2 linked regions of the Sus scrofa genome follow. The protein of the gene in region 1 purifies or fractionates together with the protein of each later gene. This does not show direct contact. Links are inferred from orthologs where the notes say so. Each region holds a gene or a part of one and is shown in the gene's direction. Other genes may lie near its edges.

The links.
Region 2: the proteins of KLF11 (region 1) and SIN3A purify together in Homo sapiens (affinity purification with western blotting, with the first as the bait; 3 studies listed by BioGRID). This does not show direct contact. The link is inferred for Sus scrofa from reciprocal best matches to the Homo sapiens genes KLF11 and SIN3A.

Annotation. Positions count from the first base shown.
Region 1 is NC_010445.4:126,421,174-126,430,322, reverse strand, and holds the start of KLF11 (Krueppel-like factor 11), read left to right. Parts: upstream 1-432; 5' UTR 433-587; coding exon 588-629; intron 630-2,157; coding exon 2,158-2,427; intron 2,428-3,779; coding exon 3,780-4,671; intron 4,672-8,731; coding exon 8,732-9,012; 3' UTR 9,013-9,149. UniProt on the Homo sapiens protein: Transcription factor. Activates the epsilon- and gamma-globin gene promoters and, to a much lower degree, the beta-globin gene and represses promoters containing SP1-like binding inhibiting cell growth.
Region 2 is NC_010449.5:58,207,098-58,216,246, forward strand, and holds part of SIN3A (paired amphipathic helix protein Sin3a), read left to right. Parts: intron 1-236; coding exon 237-519; intron 520-1,463; coding exon 1,464-1,715; intron 1,716-2,839; coding exon 2,840-2,992; intron 2,993-3,131; coding exon 3,132-3,290; intron 3,291-5,537; coding exon 5,538-5,627; intron 5,628-8,158; coding exon 8,159-8,277; intron 8,278-8,853; coding exon 8,854-9,064; intron 9,065-9,149. UniProt on the Homo sapiens protein: Acts as a transcriptional repressor. Corepressor for REST. Interacts with MXI1 to repress MYC responsive genes and antagonize MYC oncogenic activities. Also interacts with MXD1-MAX heterodimers to repress transcription by tethering SIN3A to DNA.

The DNA of each region.
Region 1 (9,149 bases):
CGCTGCCTCTACTGGACAGATTCACCCCATCCGGACCTGCGCTCTGGCAGGCTTCGGGCAGTGGCCGCTTTAAGCGCTGTCCCCCTCCCCAGCCAGCTCGGGGACTTCCCCTGCCGCAAAGGCGCTGTCCTCTCTGCCCAGCCGCCTCCGCACCGCAGCGGCCAAGCTGCCGCCGGGACCTTTCCCCTACTTTCCAGGGCCTCAGGCCCCGCCCCCTCATCGCGACCAAAACACGTGCCGCGTCCCGCCCTGCCCGATCACGCCGCGGCCAGGCTCTGATCACGCGGCTCCCCGTGGTGCCTATTGGTCGGTGGCGCACGGGCCTGGCGCGGATTGGCTGGCACCTGGCCGGCCCCGCCCCGGAGGGGCGCGGTGTATTTTGGTTTACCTCTGCACCCCGCCCCTCCGGTCGCCCCGCCCCTCCCACGCCGCGAGGGCCGCGCCGAGGCAGAGTGGCGCGGGCGGGCGGAGGCGCGCGCCGGCCGCTGGATCTCCGGCTCGCCGCCGCCCGCCACGCACGTGCGGCAGCTGTCGTGCGCCGAGCTCCCGCCCTGCGGCTGCTTTGTTGCCTCCGGGCCGCCGGCACCATGCTCACGCCGGGCTCTGCGGGCCCGGGCGACGCACACGCGGTGAGTGGTCGCCCATCGGAGAGAGGGGCGAGACGGGGCTGCGCTGCGTGTGCGGACACAGGGTGCGGAGGAGGGTGGGGGCACACGGTCTCGCCGCACCCACACCCTTGAGAGCCCGGGCGGGTTCGGCCGCCTGAAGGGGCGGCGGCCGCGCGAGGTCGCGCCGGGAGGGGCGGGGAGGGGGATGTGCTTCGCACCGCCCCACGCGCAGCTTTTTGTCTAGCGCTCCCGCAGCGGCCCCACCCAGGCAGCCCCAGGTGCGGGGCTATTTGCAGCCATGACGTCATCAGGCCCTGTGAGGAGGTGGCCGTTGGGCGGGGCGCGGCTGGCGGGAACTCGGCTTGCGGGCCGCGGGGGGCGGGGCGCCGGCGGAGAGGCAGGGGCTGTGGGAACTCGGCGCGGGGGGCGGGGTCGAGGGCGGGGGCGGGGCCAAGGCTGGCGGGAAAGCGGGGCGGGGCCAAGGCTGGCGGGAAGGCTGCACGCGCCGGGCGGGCAGCCTCAACCCCTGGGCCGCTCCTGTCCGTGCTGGAGGGCGCTGGCTGAACCTGGTACCGAGTCGTCGAGCCACGGGGACTGCCGAGGGGCCGAGAGAAGGGTCTGGGAGCCCCGCGTCACCCCGTCCCTCCCCTAGCAGGCCTAGCAGGTCTTATTAACCATTTCCACTTCTGTGACTTCACAGTTCTTTCCGGGGACTCGGCCAGAGTGACATCTGTAAGGGCGGCGGCGTCACCTGTGTGCCGCGGGGGGCCCCTGGGCGGGACAGGTTGGGGTTTAGGCAAGCTGAGTGGAAGAGTGTTATCTTCGTAGATGGAAAGGTTCTCGGGGAAGAGATGGGTTGCCTCCAGTCGGTTCCTGCTCTGCTCCCGCTTCAGAGGAGGAGCTGCGCTGGGAAGCCCTCGCCGGCTTGTGGCAAATCTTAGCCGTTCTTCCTCTCCCAGCGCTAGTCCGCGAGGACCGACCCAGGCGCTCCCGGGGGTGGGGACCAGGGCTGAACCGCGCGTTGCTCTCCCGCGCGGGACTCAGCTGAGTGATTCCCTGACGGGTGTGGATGCTCCAGGGTTGTCGCAAATGCATCTGTGGGGACGCTCGGGTGGTTTTGCCGACTCATCTCAGCCAACCTGAGCCATCGGTGTCCTTCCTCCTCCTCCCCCCCGGGAAAGTTTGACATTAGCCATTGGGTTCTCACCTCTGGAAAGGAGTGTTATTAATCATTTCCCAAAGAAAAGCAAGAGCTTAGCAACCGTTGCTAAGAGTCAGGGTGTTCTGGGGAAGCTGCTGACCGGCCCAGTCCATTCCTCCTCCCTCCCTCGGCGAAACACTGGCTTTGGAGCCAAGTGGTCCTCCGAGCTCTGCTGGCTGCTTCCCCACCCCCCAGAGCGCATGCGGTGCTGCGGGCTTGGGGTGGGTGTGGAGTGGGCGCGGGGCAGGTTCCTGGTGTGCATGCCTTCTTCCTCCTTACCGTGGGGGCTGTGCGTGACCCTTTTTGTGCTTCCGGGACTGAAAAGCCATAGTGTTGTGTCGCCTTTAGGTTGACATCATGGACATATGTGAGTCCATCCTGGAGAGGAAGCGGCATGACAGTGAGAGGTCTACGTGCAGCATCTTGGAGCAGAATGACATTGAAGCTGTTGAGGTGCTGGTTTGCATGAGCTCCTGGGGTCAGAGATCCCAAAAAGGGGACCTGTTGAAGATAAGACCGCTCACACCTGTCTCTGACTCTGGCGATATCACCACCACTGTGCCGATGGACTCACCTGCACCTGAGCTACCAAAGGACTTCCATTCTTTATCAACTCTGGTAAGAGGTGGGGGAGGGGGCGGTTTGCGCCTGGTCTAGAGTATCTTTGGTAAATGTGCTAAAGAGCTGCTGGGTAGATTCACCAGGATGCTGGCAAGCAAGTTCATACCCCCCTCTATGTGGGTCTTAAGGGTGAAAGCTGCTTTTATCTCTTGAAAATATGCTTTCCATTAATAGAGCATAGCTTGTAGCCACAGGGTGTAAATGTCCATAGGGTGAAACTATAGATTGATGTGGAAGAGCAAAATGTAGTCATTTTCCTGGGAAACCCGTAGGTTGAGGGCTCCAGTCCAGGAGCAGGATCTGTGGGTGGCAGCAGGGGAAAGCCTCTACTTTGCACCAGGCAGCCTTCATTAGCTGGGGTGAAATCCTGGGTCTCTGCCTCCCTTATGGGAGCCAATTTCTTTCTTGTGTGAGTTGGGTGCCGTCAGACACTGGCTTTTGTTTTTGTTTTGTTGTTACCGCAAACGGCAGCAAAGTTACTGGGAAGCACTGCCTCTCCACTTGGAGAAGTTGAAAGCTGTCAGTTGCCAACAAAACGGAAATTTTTGATCTGGCTGTTCTGGGCTGGTATCTTGCACTGGAAGGATGGGGCAGAACACTGACTTGTGGGGTGGGAAGGCACTTGTGGCAGCAGAGAGGATTGTACAAGGAGTGGGCCTGGCTGCGGGGGGGGGCACCTCTCAGAGTTACTTGGCATTGGGTTGAAAATAAGTGGGAGCTGTTTGTAGGGAGAAGTGGTACAAAGAGAGTCTTGGTTTAGGCCAAACCCCTGGTTAAAGCATGGCCTTTGGGGGATCGTTCTCCTAGGTTTTATTTTGTATCTAGTAGGCATTGAATGAGTGTGTGACGGATTGGATGGGGTGTGATCAATTGGTTGGATAGGTGTGTGATTGGATGAGTGTGTGTTTGATGGGGTAGGTGTGTGATCGATTGGATAAGGGTGTTAAATGATTATCACTGAGACTTTTTTAAAAACTTTGAGATTCTGATACTATTTTTTGAGATTCTGTATAAAGTTCTCATTTTGACTGTAAGTTTGATTCTTCATTTGTAGTCCTGATACTTAAATTGTTCACTTCAGTAGCTGTGCGAGCCCAGGAACAGCACCGGCGTCCTCACAGTGGAGCAGATGGATGGGTTGGCAGAGGTCGGGAAAGCGGGAGAAGGCAGGAAAGTTAGGTGCCTCCAGCAGGCTGTACATCCATTGGGTGCGATTGGGAGCAGACTTTGACCAATCTTTTCTAGATACTTCTTTGTAAAGACTTCGGGGGCAACATGATCAAAGTAAGTTCCTTAAAATTTAACCAAAATAACCTTTTCACACAGCACTTTTTTTTTTTTTTTTTAAGTGCATGACTCCTCCTCAGAGCCCTGACCTCACGGAGCCATCAACAGGGACACTTGGTCCTTCCCAAGTAACTGATTCCAAAGCCCCCATGGTCATGGCTGGCCCCTCAGCCTCTCGTGGGGGAGCCCCCCCTCCCTGCAGGGCCATGGTGACAAGTGTCATTTGCTACACCGGGGGGACTCCTGCCCACACTCCTACCACTCAGGCTCAAGAGCACCACCTTTCAGCCAACAGAGAAGCGGAAGCCCGGTGTCTGGAACACACCGAAGCTTTGCCGGACACACGCCTCACAGACAGTTTGCTCACCGTTAACGCGGTGTCCTGCCAGCCTTGCTCACACAAGTCTGGCGGCCTGACCTCCACCGACGACAAGAGCCCGCAGGCAGGGTGGCCTGTTGCGGTTCCGATCTGCTCACCAAAGAATCATGACAGTGACTTGCCAAGGAAAGCCACCCCTCTGATTTCTGTCCCTACGGCTAGTCCCCCTGTCCTTTGCCAGATGCTCCCTGTGACTGGACAAAGTGGCGTGTTAGCCGCTTTGCTGAAGCCTCCTCTCCCAGTGTCTACAGGGACTGCCAAACCCATCTTGCCCCATGCTGCTCCAGTCCCCCAGCCTGTGTTCGTGGGACCGTCCATGCCTCCGGGGGCTGTGATGTTGGTTCTGCCCCAGGGGGCCCTGGCCCAGCCCGCCACGTGCTCATCGAGCGCCCTGGCCGTGGCGAGTGCCAGGTTCTTGCCGCTCGCCCCTGCGCCCGTGTTCATCGCATCCAGTCAGAGCTGCGCCCCTCAGGTCGACTTTTCCCGCAGGAGGAACTATGTGTGCAGCTTCCCGGGCTGCCGGAAGACCTACTTCAAAAGCTCCCATCTCAAGGCCCACCTTCGCACTCACACAGGTGAGCACTGAGGCAGGTGGGGCGTCGGGAGGAAGGTCAGATCCCACGTCCGGGACACACTGAGCCTCCGCAGGGTGAGAGTGAAGCATGAGAACCATGGAGAAGGTGGCCCTGTTTCTTTGGTTCTGAAAAGTCTTCATAGCCTCGGGGTTGACATTAGCAGAGCCATCGGTGGTTTTCTAGAACTTGCTGTCTGCTCATCCCGGTAGATGCGGCGCAGTGCAGTCTTAGGATTGTGATCCTCAGGTCGACAGGCTGGGGGAGCGAGGCTCACGTTGCCCCTTTTCTTCACGTTGCAGTCAGTCGGCATCTCATTCTTCCTTTCATTTTAGAAAATAGGCATTTGTGCTCAACACGTGTTTTATTAGCGTGATTGCAGTTTTTTCTGGGGAAAGAGCTTTACAATCTATGGGAAAAATTGAATTCTAGGCTATTTGCACTTTAAGGGCATGTCGTTTTTTTGCTTTGGGAAATATGTAGTTTTTAATTTGGAAGAAGTCGCAAGAGAAACTGTAATGACTTAGTCTCTCTAGTGTCCCATCAGCTTCATCCAATAGAATTTTCTGCAGGGACGGAAATGTCCTCTGTTGGTTAGGGGAGCAGCCACTGGCCACTTGGACTTGAAATGGGAACAGTGTGGCAGAGGGACTGAGTTGCACATTCTCATTAAGTTTGTGTTTATGTAGTTACTTGTAGCTACCCTACTGTGTAACAGAAGGGTGAAGTTGCCTGGTAGGTAGTTTTTTGTTTTATCTTGTCTTGGTTTTTTTGTTTGTTTGTTTGTTTTTTCGCTTTTTTGGACTCCACCTGCAGCATATGGAGGTTCCCAGGCTAGGGGTCGAATCAGAGCTGCAGCTGCCGGCCTGCGCCACAGCCACAGCAACGCAGGATCCGAGCCATGTCTGTGACCTACACCACCGCTCATGGCAACGCTGGATCTTTAACTCACTGAGCAAGGCTAAGGATCAGATCGCATCCGCATGGATTCTAGTTGGGTTCATTACCACTCAGCACTACAGGAACTCCACGGTAGGTAGTTGATTAGGCCAGAGGTCTCAGGTGTTCCGCTTAGTGTCCGTTGTTTTGTTTTCAAGGGTCCTGCGGTCTGCGAAACTCACCTTTCAAAGGTTCACACAGGCACGTACATATAAGCACAGAAACAGGTTGCATGGTCTGCAGTAAAGCTGTGTTTCATTAACTCTTGATCGTGGAACCCCCTCCACCAGAGTGTCTGCTCGTGGCCTGTGCGCCAGCAGTGAACTGTGGAACGTAGCTGCAGAGAGGATGAGCTGTTGGCAGTTTTTAGGGTACTTCACCCCAAAATGCATTTGAGCTGGAGTGCTTTCTAATTACCATGTCAGGACGCGAATCGCGGCAGCTCCTGCTTGCAGAATGAAGCGGAGCCTGGAACACAGGCCTTTGAAAGGAGCTCTGCTGCTTCCACACGGCGGGGCGGGCTCTTCGCTTCAGGGGTAAGGCCCGAGCCTGGCCGGTGCCAAGCTTGCCTCTCCGCCTTAACCTTTTCTCTCCCGATTGTCCTTCATCCCCGCCCTCCGCCTGTCCCTGCTCCCTGACGCCTTCAGCTCCACCCCCCCCCCCCGGCCTTCTCTTTTTGATTTTTGATTTGTGACTTAGCTACTCGTGTGCTCTCACTGGATGCCCACTCTCAGTGTCTGGCGTAAGAGACTGACACCAGTACACGATCCTGGGCCTCGGTGCCACGGGGGCCGTCGGGGCTATATCCGCTTCAGCGGGCGCTCGGGCTCGTGGACCCGGCAGGCTAGGTTTCCACTGAGCGAGCCTCAGGTCCCGCCTAAACACCGATGCCACCACATGTGAGGAAGCAGTGGCATGAGGTTTATTCAGCCAGCTTTCCGTGGTAGAAATACTGATGTGATGGCATAAAATAAGATGATCAGACAAGCTCGCTTCACATTTCCCGAAGTACTTAAAGTAACCATGAGTGAGCTGAAGAATCAACTTCTTTTTTTTTTTTTTGTCTTTTGTCCTTTTAGGGCTGAACCTGAGGCATATGGAGGTTCCCAGGCTAGGGGTCGAAGCTGTAGCCGGTGGCCTATGCCAGAGCCGCAGCAACGCCGAATCCTTAACCCACTGAGCGAGGCCAGGGATCGAACCCACAGCCTCATGGTTCCTAGTCGGATTCGTTTCTGCTGTGCCACAACAGGAACTCCAAGAATCAACTTCTTGTGCTATTTTTTGTAAACACGAAATTGGAGTTTTCCTAAGAAATAGAAATGTTAGATAAGTTTACCTTAGATGAGAGTTCTTCCTCTGCCAATCTGAACTTTCTCTTTTTTTCTTGCTTTTTAGGGCTGCCCCCTCGGCATATGGACGTTCTCAGGCTAGAGGTTGAATCGAAGCTGCAGCCTCCAGCCTACACCACAGCCACAACAACTCCGGATCTGAGACGTGTCTGCAACCTATGCGACAACTCATGGCAACACTGGATCCTTAACCCACTGAGCGAGGCCAGGGATGGAACGAACCTGCGTCCTCATGGATCCTAGTCAGATTCATTTTTGCTGAGCCACGATGGGAACTCCTGAGATTTTTTTTAATTAGGGTAAGGTAGAGTGAGGAATTCTCAGGATTAAGGATACGGCGTTGTCACTGCTATGGCGCAGGTTTGATCCTTGGCCCCGGAACTTCCGCATGCCTTGGACTTGGCCCAAAGAAGAGAGAGAGGATAAGGTAGAGTAAGGAAGGGCAACGTTTTTGGTGTGTTGGAAACATAGGACACTTTAGGGAGTTCCCATTGTGGCTCAGTGGGTTATGAACCCAACTCGTAACCATGAGCTTGCGGGTTCCATCCCTGGCCTCGCTCAGTGGGTTAAGGATCAGGTGTTGCTGCGAGCTGTGGGGTAGGTCATAGATGCGGCTTGGATCTGGCATGGCTGTGGCATAGGCTGGTAGCTGCAGCTCTGGTTCGACCTACAGCTGGGAACCTCCATATGCCATAGGCGCAGCCCTAACAAAGAAAAAAAAGAACGAAAACATAGGACACTTTATAAATCCCATGCCAAAGGGTTGTTTTCTGTCCAACATCTGGCCATCTGGTATGCTGCCAGCAGAGGTGGTAGTTTCCTGGAAACAGGTAACCTCACAGGTAACCTTACACTTAGAACGTGGGGTCTTTGAAATCTGTGAAGTTCGGGCCCTTGTTTCTTAAAATGGTGCATAAGCGTTGCGAGGCTGAATTTTCCTGTTAATTCAGTTTTGAAAAACGTTGCATATTTAGTTGATGTCTTTTCCACACTCATTCACTGCCTGTCAGACAGAGTGCTGTGCCAGGGGCTGAACTGTGCAGAGAAGGATGAACTAGCAAGTCCTCAGCCTTTGGGAGGGTAGGTCACATGACACAGAAGAGCATTTGGCAAATCCATTCATGCACAAGCCGTATGTGATTGTCACAACCTGGCCCAGTTAAGGGCTTCAGGATGCAGGAAAGGGAGCACTCCTACTGGCTGGAGAGGCCCAGGAGGAGCCCGGAGAAGGGCTCCCTGGCTCATCGCCGTACCGCCAGGTGGACGTGGTAGGGACCCCTGCCCAGTACTCTGGAACTTGGAATGATGATGCCTGAAGCTTGGAACGAGAGATAGGAAGGTAGCTGTTCAAATTCCACCCTGTTTGGTAATTAGCCTCTTTGTCAAGGTAGTGCGAATGTGAGGGGGATGGATTCTGAGGCGTCTGAAGGTCCTGGGAGGGACTCTTGTAGATGTGCAACTTCTGAGAGGGAAGGAAATTATTCCTTTCAAGAGTCTTTCTCCTATTCCAAGCTAACTGTCAAAGATTTATTTTCATTTAAAAATGTCTTTAGAAGGATGAGTTTGAGGGCTTTGGCCCCTGCCGCATCCAGTCTCGGGTGTGGCAGGGAGACAGAGTCTTGGGGGATTCCTTGACTTCCAGACAATCTGATGCCAGAACAGTAGGCTACTCCTTGCTTCTTGGGTTTCGGTGAACCAGGTTTTAAAACGACACGAATTGGCCTACTCAGCGAGGTGCTGAGCATTGACTTCCTGTGCCTTCTCTCCCCTCTTAGGAGAGAAGCCTTTCAGCTGCAGCTGGGATGGCTGCGACAAGAAATTCGCTCGTTCAGATGAACTCTCTCGCCACCGCAGAACTCACACTGGGGAGAAGAAGTTCGTGTGCCCCGTGTGCGAGCGGCGGTTCATGCGCAGCGACCACCTGACCAAGCACGCCCGGCGCCACGGGAGCACCCGCAGGGTCCCCAGCTGGCAGGCGGAGGTGGGCAAGCTGAGCAGAATGGCCTCGGCCGAGCCCCCGGGGAGCCCGCTGCTGTGCAGGCCGGCCTCGGCCTGACGGGCGCGCTGGGGCCCGCGGAGGGGGTCTGTAAAAGCCTCTTTCAGGACTGGAGCGGATGGTTTTCCCTCCAAAAAAAAGAAAAAAATTGGCTTGAGGGCTGGGAGAAAGTGGGGAGCTGGTTCTGATGAGAGCGC
Region 2 (9,149 bases), on another chromosome or scaffold:
TTTCAGAGTTTTTGTGTGTCATTACTTTTGTAATATTCATGTTGATTTTTTATTTTCCTGCATGGTAGAGAATCTAGTGGAATGTGAATTTTTTTCTTGGTAGAGTGTTTGTCAAGCTTGCCACTTTAATGTGTGTGTGTGTGTGTGTGTGTGTGTGTGTGTTTATATATATATATACACATATATATATTTATATTTATATATATGTTTGTTTTTTTTTTTTTTTTTTTAATCAGCATTGACACTCCAGGAGTGATTAGTCGTGTGTCCCAGCTGTTCAAAGGCCACCCTGACCTGATCATGGGCTTCAATACCTTCTTGCCCCCTGGCTACAAGATTGAGGTGCAAACCAATGACATGGTGAATGTGACAACTCCTGGCCAGGTTCATCAGATCCCCACCCATGGCATCCAGCCCCAGCCTCAACCACCACCCCAGCATCCTTCCCAGCCTTCAGCCCAGTCTGCTCCAGCTCCTGCCCAGCCAGCTCCTCAGCCCCCACCTGCCAAAGTCAGCAAGGTGAGCACTTGGAAAACTTTGCACCGTGTAACATACATCCCTAGAAAGCACCCTCCTTTGGCATTTTCCACTTGTATAAGACTTAGATATTCAAGTTAAAATTTTATCGGTGAAGATGCGGTAGTCACATCCCTATAATGTGGCACATGTTCACATAACACATAATTATTTATATATCTGTTTAAATCAACACCTCAACAACCTGCAAGGACTCTTTTTGCCCCCAACTTCGGCTTTTTGAATCCATGAGCATGCCAACAGATGGCAACTTTGTGTGGTAGTATTTGAATAGCACAGGCAGAAACGGTCATCTTATGATCAGTTGTCTCTGTGGTCATGATTTTACAAGATTTACGTCATTTACCAGGTTAGGTTATAGCAAGCTAAACGGAAGATCTTGATAATAGTGGTGGTGATGGTGATGATGGAGTGTTTTACTTAAAAGAAATGCAGCTTTTCAATTTCACTAGCTAAATTTAAAGTGCTCAGTAGCCTCATTTGGATGTCATGCAATATAGAGAACTCTGTTGGGCAGAGCTGGTTGAGAAGACTTTTTTTTAAATATGAATTTATTGCAATAGTTGAATTGTCTTCTGGACATTAAAGATCTATGTAGAATGAGGTTTCTTTCCCTATTCTATGTGTACCTATTGAGCAAGTGAGCTAAATATTGCATATGAAAAATTCTTCCCTATAATTGGAGATATAGCCTACTTTTAAGGTTGTATTTAGAACATTTGAGACTGAATTTTTGTATTACAATGTATGAATCCTCTACACTTCCAACCTTGCCCTTTGTGATTTGAATTGGGCTAAAATGGCCTGGCCAGAGTGAGTAAAGTATGTAAGTCGATCGGACACTTTATTTCTCTTTAGTTTGAACTTTCTTTCCTGTGGTAAACCATCTGTGTTCCTGAGGAGAATAAAGACTTTTTTCTTTTTAGCCTTCCCAACTACAAGCACATACTCCAGCCAGTCAGCAGACTCCCCCTCTCCCACCATACGCATCCCCACGTTCTCCACCTGTCCAGCCTCATACACCAGTGACAATCTCGTTGGGAACAGCCCCGCCCTTGCAGAACAATCAGCCTGTGGAGTTTAACCATGCCATCAACTATGTCAATAAGATCAAGAACAGGTTCCAGGGCCAACCAGACATCTACAAAGCATTCCTGGAGATTTTGCACACATATCAGGTAAGACTGTTGCCTTTTCACCCTGTCTTAACCAGGTTGTCCTCTGTGGACATCTATTCAGAGAAGAATGTAAATAACCATTATTGTGGCCACGAATTCTTACTGGAAATTAACCTGTTAGAAATTGCATTCATAAAGCTAGTTTGATTTGCCTGACTTCAATTTTAATTGAATTTTAGCAGCCAGTCACAGTTTTCAAAGTCACTGCTCTGTGAGATGGATGCTTATTTATCTGGAAAGTTTAAATGATGATTTGGGTGGTATAGTTAATTTACAGTAGAATAAAAAGAAATTTCTCTAGTATTTTGTGTTTTATCATTCGGGAGTGGTCTGTCTTGAACATTCACATATACTGCTCTGGTTTTATTTATTTATTTATTTATTGCTTTTTAGGGCTGTACCCACAGCATATGGAAGTTTCCAAGCTAGGGGTCGAATCGGAGCTGCAGCTGCCACAGCCATAGCAATGTAGGATCCAAGCTGTATCTTCAACCTGCACCATAGCTCACAGCAACCAGTGCGGGATCCTTAACCCACTGAATGAGACCAGGTATCAAAGCTTCATCCTCATGGATACTAGTTGGGTTTGTAACCTTCTGAGCCACAACAGGAACCCCCACTGCCCTAGTTTTAAAAGGAATTAAGTCTCAGCCGCCATCTTCCACTTATTTCTCAACTTAAAAACTAGAGGCTAGAACAGGTGCTAAAACATAGTCTTTCTTTCCTCTTAAGTACAGCCCAAAAGTCGGTAAAATACAGAGCTCCTGTCAGACATCTCAGAAAGTGTGCAAAAGTGAGTCATTCAAAACAGTGGCCCTTGGGGTTCCCGTCATGGCTCAGCCATTAACAAACCTGACTAGTATCCATGAGGACGAGGGTTCGATCTCTGGGTTAAGGATCCGGCATTGCCGTGAGTTGTGGTGTAGGTCGCAGACGCAGCTCTGATCTGGCATTGCTGTGGCTGTAGTGTAGGCCAGCAGCTATAGCTCTAATTCAACCCCTAGCCTGGGAACTTCCATATCTCTTGGGTGCAGCCCTAGAAAGACAAAAACAAAACAAAAACAAAAAACAAAGAAACAGTGGCTCTCTAATATGATCTCTTCCCATTTACAATTTCCTATTAGAAAGAGCAGCGAAATGCCAAGGAAGCTGGAGGAAACTACACTCCAGCGTTGACTGAGCAGGAGGTGTATGCCCAGGTGGCTCGTCTTTTTAAAAATCAGGAAGATCTGTTGTCAGAATTTGGACAGTTCCTACCAGATGCCAACAGCTCCGTGGTAAGTTTTATTTAGAACTGCGCTATTGAGAATGGTTAGCTCAGATAAGTTAGGGAGCTGGAATCAGAAGGAGACTTTTTCTGAAAGGTACTTTTTTGCTTTGATAAAAACATTAATCTTTTTCATGTGTCTTAATTAGCTTTTAAGCAAAACAACTGCTGAGAAGGTGGATTCCGTGAGAAATGACCATGGAGGCACTGTAAAGAAGCCTCAACTAAACAACAAGCCACAGAGGCCCAGCCAGAATGGCTGCCAGATCCGCAGACACTCTGGAACAGGAGCCACCCCTCCAGTGAAGGTGAGAGTGGGTGCAGCTGCTTATTTCGACTTCCTGGAACGATTCTAGTGGGCACGTGCTCAAGGTTTGACAGTTAGATCCTGATATTCAGAGTTGGTTTATGTCTCAGAACTCAATGCAAAACTTTTTACCTGGCCTTGTGAAAGAATGTTAGAATACTGCTTTGCTTTTGTTTTGTTTTTTTTTAGGTCCATACCCACGGCATATGAAAGTTCCCAGTTCCCAGGCTAGGGGTTGAGAATCAGAGTTACAGCTGCTGGCCTACACTAGCAGTGCGGGATCCAAGCTGCAGTCTGCCACATACACCACAGCTCACGGCAATGCTGGATCCCCAACCCACTGAGCAAGGCCAAGGATGGAACCCGCATCCTCATGGGGTGACTAGTCAGATTTGATATCATTGTACCACAATGGGAACTCCCAGAATACTGCTAATTGTTCAGATTACTGTGCTTTTTTGAGTTCTTAATGGTTTTCCGTATGTTTTCTCTCTTCTTTGTGGTTAACTCTCATCTATTTTTTGTTTGTTTCTGCCAAGGGTTTCTGAGACTTAATTTTTCCCTTCTTGATTTGATGCCTTAAGCCTGCTTTGTGCTAAGTAAGATTATTAAGTTCGATAATTGTTCCCAAAATAAGTCAGTGGTCTCTGAGGTTCTTTTGTGAGTAAAGTGCATATGCTTTGTGGGATCTCTTCTTCGGTTTAGAGACCTATCCTGCTCAAGGTTCTTTTGGGTTGCCACATCTTACCTGTATCATCTTAATCTCCAAGGAGGAACTTTGGGCTGTAACAGGGTGGTCTTAAACTCCTCTTAGTGACCTATCTCATGATGCTTCTTGTTACAGCCAATACTGATGGTCTGCCTGCAAAAAGCTGAGCCCACTCCCTTTCTCTTTAATATGGGGCACCTGTGCTAGGGAGCAGACTAGGTGTATGTATTGAATGTTGAATTCTAACATATAGCATTGAAGAGATAGATGTGTCCGCAGAATTTAATTAAAGAATAAAAGCTAGTGTAACTTCTTACGGTAAGAAATGACCGAGGGAGTTCTTGTTGCAGTTCAGCAGGTTATGAACCTGACTGGTATCATTGAGTTCAGTCCCTGGTCTTGCTCAGTGGGTTAAGGATCTGACATTGCTGTGAGCTGTGGTGTAGGTCACAGACGCAGCTCAGATTGTGAATTGCTGAGGCGCAAGCCAGCAGCTGTAGCTCTGATTCCACCCCTAGCCTGGGAATTTCCATGTACCTCAGGTGTGGCCCTAAGAAGCAAAAAAAAAAAAAGGACTGATAAACCAGCAAATGACCGCAAAGACTGACCTGTTATGGATTGCTGACACTTTGAAGAACTATTTTTCAATGTTTTTAATAGTTTCTCCTTTTGGAAGCAAGTTGAACATAGCAGTAGTTTATATTTCCTCACTTTAGTAAGGAGTGTTTTATGAGTAGTAAGAACAGGTCAGGAGACATGCTTCAATCTTGGTCTCCTCCCACACTTGATGACCCACAGGTGGAAACACTATATTGGGAGGTTAGAATTCCCTATCTGCCTTCTCCTTAGGCAATATAAGTAGAGGCTGTGGCTCCTGCGAGAGAGTGTTCTCCAAGGTGGCGGAGGTTAATGTGCAGCTTCTCCCAAAGTTTGTGCATTTCTTGACATGTAGTTTAGAGGTGGCTTTTTTAAAGTAAATTTTTTGCTTGGTAGTTATATCATGGCCTATTCATTTGATTTGAAAGAGCAGTCTTAACTCTGGTTTGAGTGGCTTCTGCCAGCAAGGTAATTATTCCTTCTAATAGGAAAATATACTGCTTTTTTCGTGAATTTTCAAACTGATTAAAAGGTGAAGGTTAAAGATTGATTTCTATGTACTCCAGCTCTTTTTAAAAACTTTTCTGCCTCCACAGCTAAGAAGACAAGGCATTGGCATTAGGTTCTAAATTTTTTTGCCTATGGAAAAAGTAAGGATATTAATTCTAACATCATAGTAGTGCTGTGACCATTTATAGAGAGTATTTGGGGAGTAGAATGATCTGTGAACCTCTAGGAAAAAACCGACGGCAATCTGAAATAGAAAAGAGTGGAAATCTTTCAGGATGTAAGGCAAGTTAGTGACTTGGATTCTCTTATTTGTTGCAAATTACTAATCAGTGGCGGATTAGTGATGGAACTATCAAACAGAGATGAAAACGAAACTCAGAAAACTTCTTTGAATCTTATGTGTCTGTCCTGTATTCTTCCTTTTTTTTGCAGAAGAAACCCAAACTGCTCAGTCTCAAGGATTCTTCTATGGCAGATGCCAGCAAGCATGGTGTAGGAACGGAATCGTTATTTTTTGATAAGGTGAGTGTTGAATGAATTGGATTTAATATCAGCTCTTAATGCCCAAAGAAAATAACCTCGTCCCCCAAAAGATTTTGTTTTAGAGACATCAAGATAATTAGGTAGGACTTTTTTTTTTTTTTTTTTTTTTTTTAAGGATTTTCTACTTTTTAACAGTTTCCAAATTGTAGGTCCTTTCAGTCTATGAGAACTATTAGCACAGCTAGAGAAATGGTAGCATTGACTGCTTGGGTTTTGTGAAGTAGTTTGAAGCAAAATATAGCATTTGCCATCATGGAAGAAAGCTTTTAAAAAAGGCATATTGCTCTCAAAAGATGTTTGGAGCTCCTCATTGTAGATGCCCAGAACTATATAGTGAGGAGTGTCAGTATACTAATTATTGAGGACTTAAGATGACTTGTAACCTTCTAATTGTTATACTTGTTCGAGGTATGGCATATAGGGTTAATGGGAATTCTGATTTCCTTGTATGTTTTCAAAGCTCCCCAGGTGATTCTAATGAGCAGACAGGGTTGCGATTACAGGTGTAGTCAGTGTTGTGTGGTGTGTGAGTCTGACTTCCTCCTTGGAGTCAGTTTAATTAGCAGGCTACTTTTATCATAGTGGCTAGCAAACTTCAGACTTCTCACTGGCTGGAGCCAGCCTGGATTGATCTGGTGGTGACTTACCGTGTCTTGCATCCTTGGGTTTTTGCCGAAGGGCAAATGATTATCTCCAGAATTGGTGCCTCTCGATTTGTCTCTAGCCCTCCTGTGCCTATGCGAGCTGTGCTGCAAAATAGTCCCTGGCTCTAGCTTTGACCTGAACCATTTCTGAGGGCTCTCTGGGCCTTTGGGGCTTTTGAGGCAGATGTGAAGTCCAGGTCACAACTGACAAATGGCAAAGAAAGGGTAAGAGAGGGGGACTGAATAAGTTAATTTTTTTAAAGAGTAGTATTTTTTATTGCTGTTTTTGAAGTACTTGTTTCTTAGAGATGACTGAAGTGTGTATAGCTGAAAAGTCTGGAGTTTGCTTTAGAATTCAGTGGTGGGGGAAATGGGTGTAGATGAAACAAAATTTACTGTGTATTGATTGTTGAGGCTGGCTCAGTATATAGGGTTTATTAGACTATTCTGTCTACTTTTGTATAAGTTTAAAACTAACAGAGGAATTTCCGCCGTGGCTCAACAGAAACTAATCTGACTAGTATCCATGAGGACGCAGGTTTGATCCCTGGCCTTGCTCGATGGGTTAAGGATCCGGTGTTGCCCTGAGCTATGGTGTAGGTTGCAGACATGGCTCAGATCTGGTGTTGTTGTGGCTGTGGTGTAGGCCAGCAGCTACAGCTCCCATTTGACCCCTAGCCTGGGAACCTCCATATGCCGTGGATGCGGCCTTAAAAAGACAAAAAAATAAATAAAATAAATTTCGTTATGTTTTCACCCAGTGATTTATCTGGGCATGGGTTTGCAGAAATTGAAAATGGAAGAAATCAAAACAGCTAATTAAAAAATTTAAAAATATATATTAAGTAAAATTAATAATAAAAGCTAACAAATTAAAGTAATAGTATATATTCATCTTTTGCCTTGAAAATCCATATTCCATATAGTGTCTACCGATTGATAGTTATGAAAAGTATATGAGAGCCTGGGGAAGGGGTTTTTTGATAAACTACCGGGTTTGGTGAGTGAGGGTCTGCAATCCCCACAGTGCTAGATATATACACTTTTGACATTGAAACTCTAGATTGCTTATCTAGCCAGGCAAGTTTTACTGTGTCTATGCCACTGAACCTTTTTTTTTTTTTTTGGCCACACCTGGTGTGTGGAAGTCTCCAGGCTAGGGATCAAACCCATACTGCTGTTGCAACCTGTACCATAACTGTGGCCAGTACTGGATCCTTAACCCACTGTGCCACATGGAAACTTCCTGAACACCTAGGTTTTTGGATATTAAAATGCTTATTAGTGTTCTGAATGGAGGAAGGGAAAAGATCAAGTCAGAGGACAAAAGTACCTTATTTTAAAAGGTCATTATTCAAGATTACCAGAGTTTGAAAAGAGTGTTTATAAAGATTCTTGTATAAAGTCAGGAGAGGCAGCAGAATCTTGGGTAACTCTGATAGGGTGTGGAAAATCAAGCATGTAAAAATGTAAATGTCTTGTTTACTTCAAGGTCTCATTTTCCAAATTTTTATGGAAAATTTAAAACAAATGTGAAATTAAAGAGAATAGTAAAATGACCCTTCATATACCCATCATCCAGCCTCAGCAGTTCTTAGCTCCTAGTCGGTGTACTATTTGATGTGCACACAGCTATCCCAGATTATTTGGAGACAAATCCCACATGATATATTATTTCAACTGTAGGTATTTTACTAGGTTTCTTTTAAAATGATACCTTTTTTCCAAACATTATCGCATCTAAAAAACCTAGCATTGATTCCTTAATATCATCAAATAGCAGTTCAAATTTCCCCAATTTTAAACACAATCCAGGATCTCTTGATTCCCCACTTAACTATTTTTCCTTTCGATTGTCTCCATAAGGTCCGAAAGGCTCTGCGGAGTACAGAGGCCTATGAAAATTTCCTGCGCTGTCTTGTTATTTTTAACCAGGAGGTGATCTCTCGGGCTGAGCTTGTGCAGTTAGTCTCTCCTTTCCTGGGGTAAGTGGAATCAAGGGCTTAGCCTTGATGCCTGATATGGAGGTGAAATAAAACCTAGTTTGTGGGAGTACATGGTAGGTGAAATTAATTTGATTTTGGCAGGTCAGTTGACTCCTAAAATGTCCATGACAAGAGTCCTCTGGGAAGTCTTCTAGTTCCTCTCTGGAGACAAAAAAGTAGGCGAAGAAGGCATTGGCCAAGACTATGGTCTCCTGATCTCCTGACCGGTATTGGCTGTTTATAAAGCCAGTCTTTTCCAGGGTTATAGAATCCTGGCTTTGACAAATTAAGAATTATCTGAACATTGAAGCAATAATCTTGATTAGAAGAATGGCTCGTTATTGTCTAGTTTCAGTGCAGTTCTTCCATCACTACCTTAACTGATCTTTAGAGAAAGAGAAGAAAAGGAGAAACCACATATTCAGAAGAGTAGTGCTTCTTAGGCAGGAAATAATATTTATTATTGGAATTTGTCCAGTGGTAGCAGAGTTCTGACCCAACACCAAATAGTGGTAATCACACCTCAGTATAACTGCATCATGTTTATAGTTAACAATTTTTTATTTGATTCTTCAGGAAATTCCCAGAATTGTTTAATTGGTTTAAAAACTTTCTGGGCTATAAGGAATCTGTACATCTGGAAACCTTTCCAAAGGAACGAGCCACAGAGGGCATTGCTATGGAGATAGACTATGCCTCTTGTAAGCGGTTGGGCTCCAGCTATCGAGCCCTACCAAAGAGTTATCAGCAGCCCAAGTGCACAGGACGGACTCCTCTTTGTAAAGAGGTAAGGCCTTCCCAAGAAAAGATTAGCCCTGATTCCTTAACTTCCTCCAGAAGGGATTGTGGTACCAGGGATGGAGAATTGATAT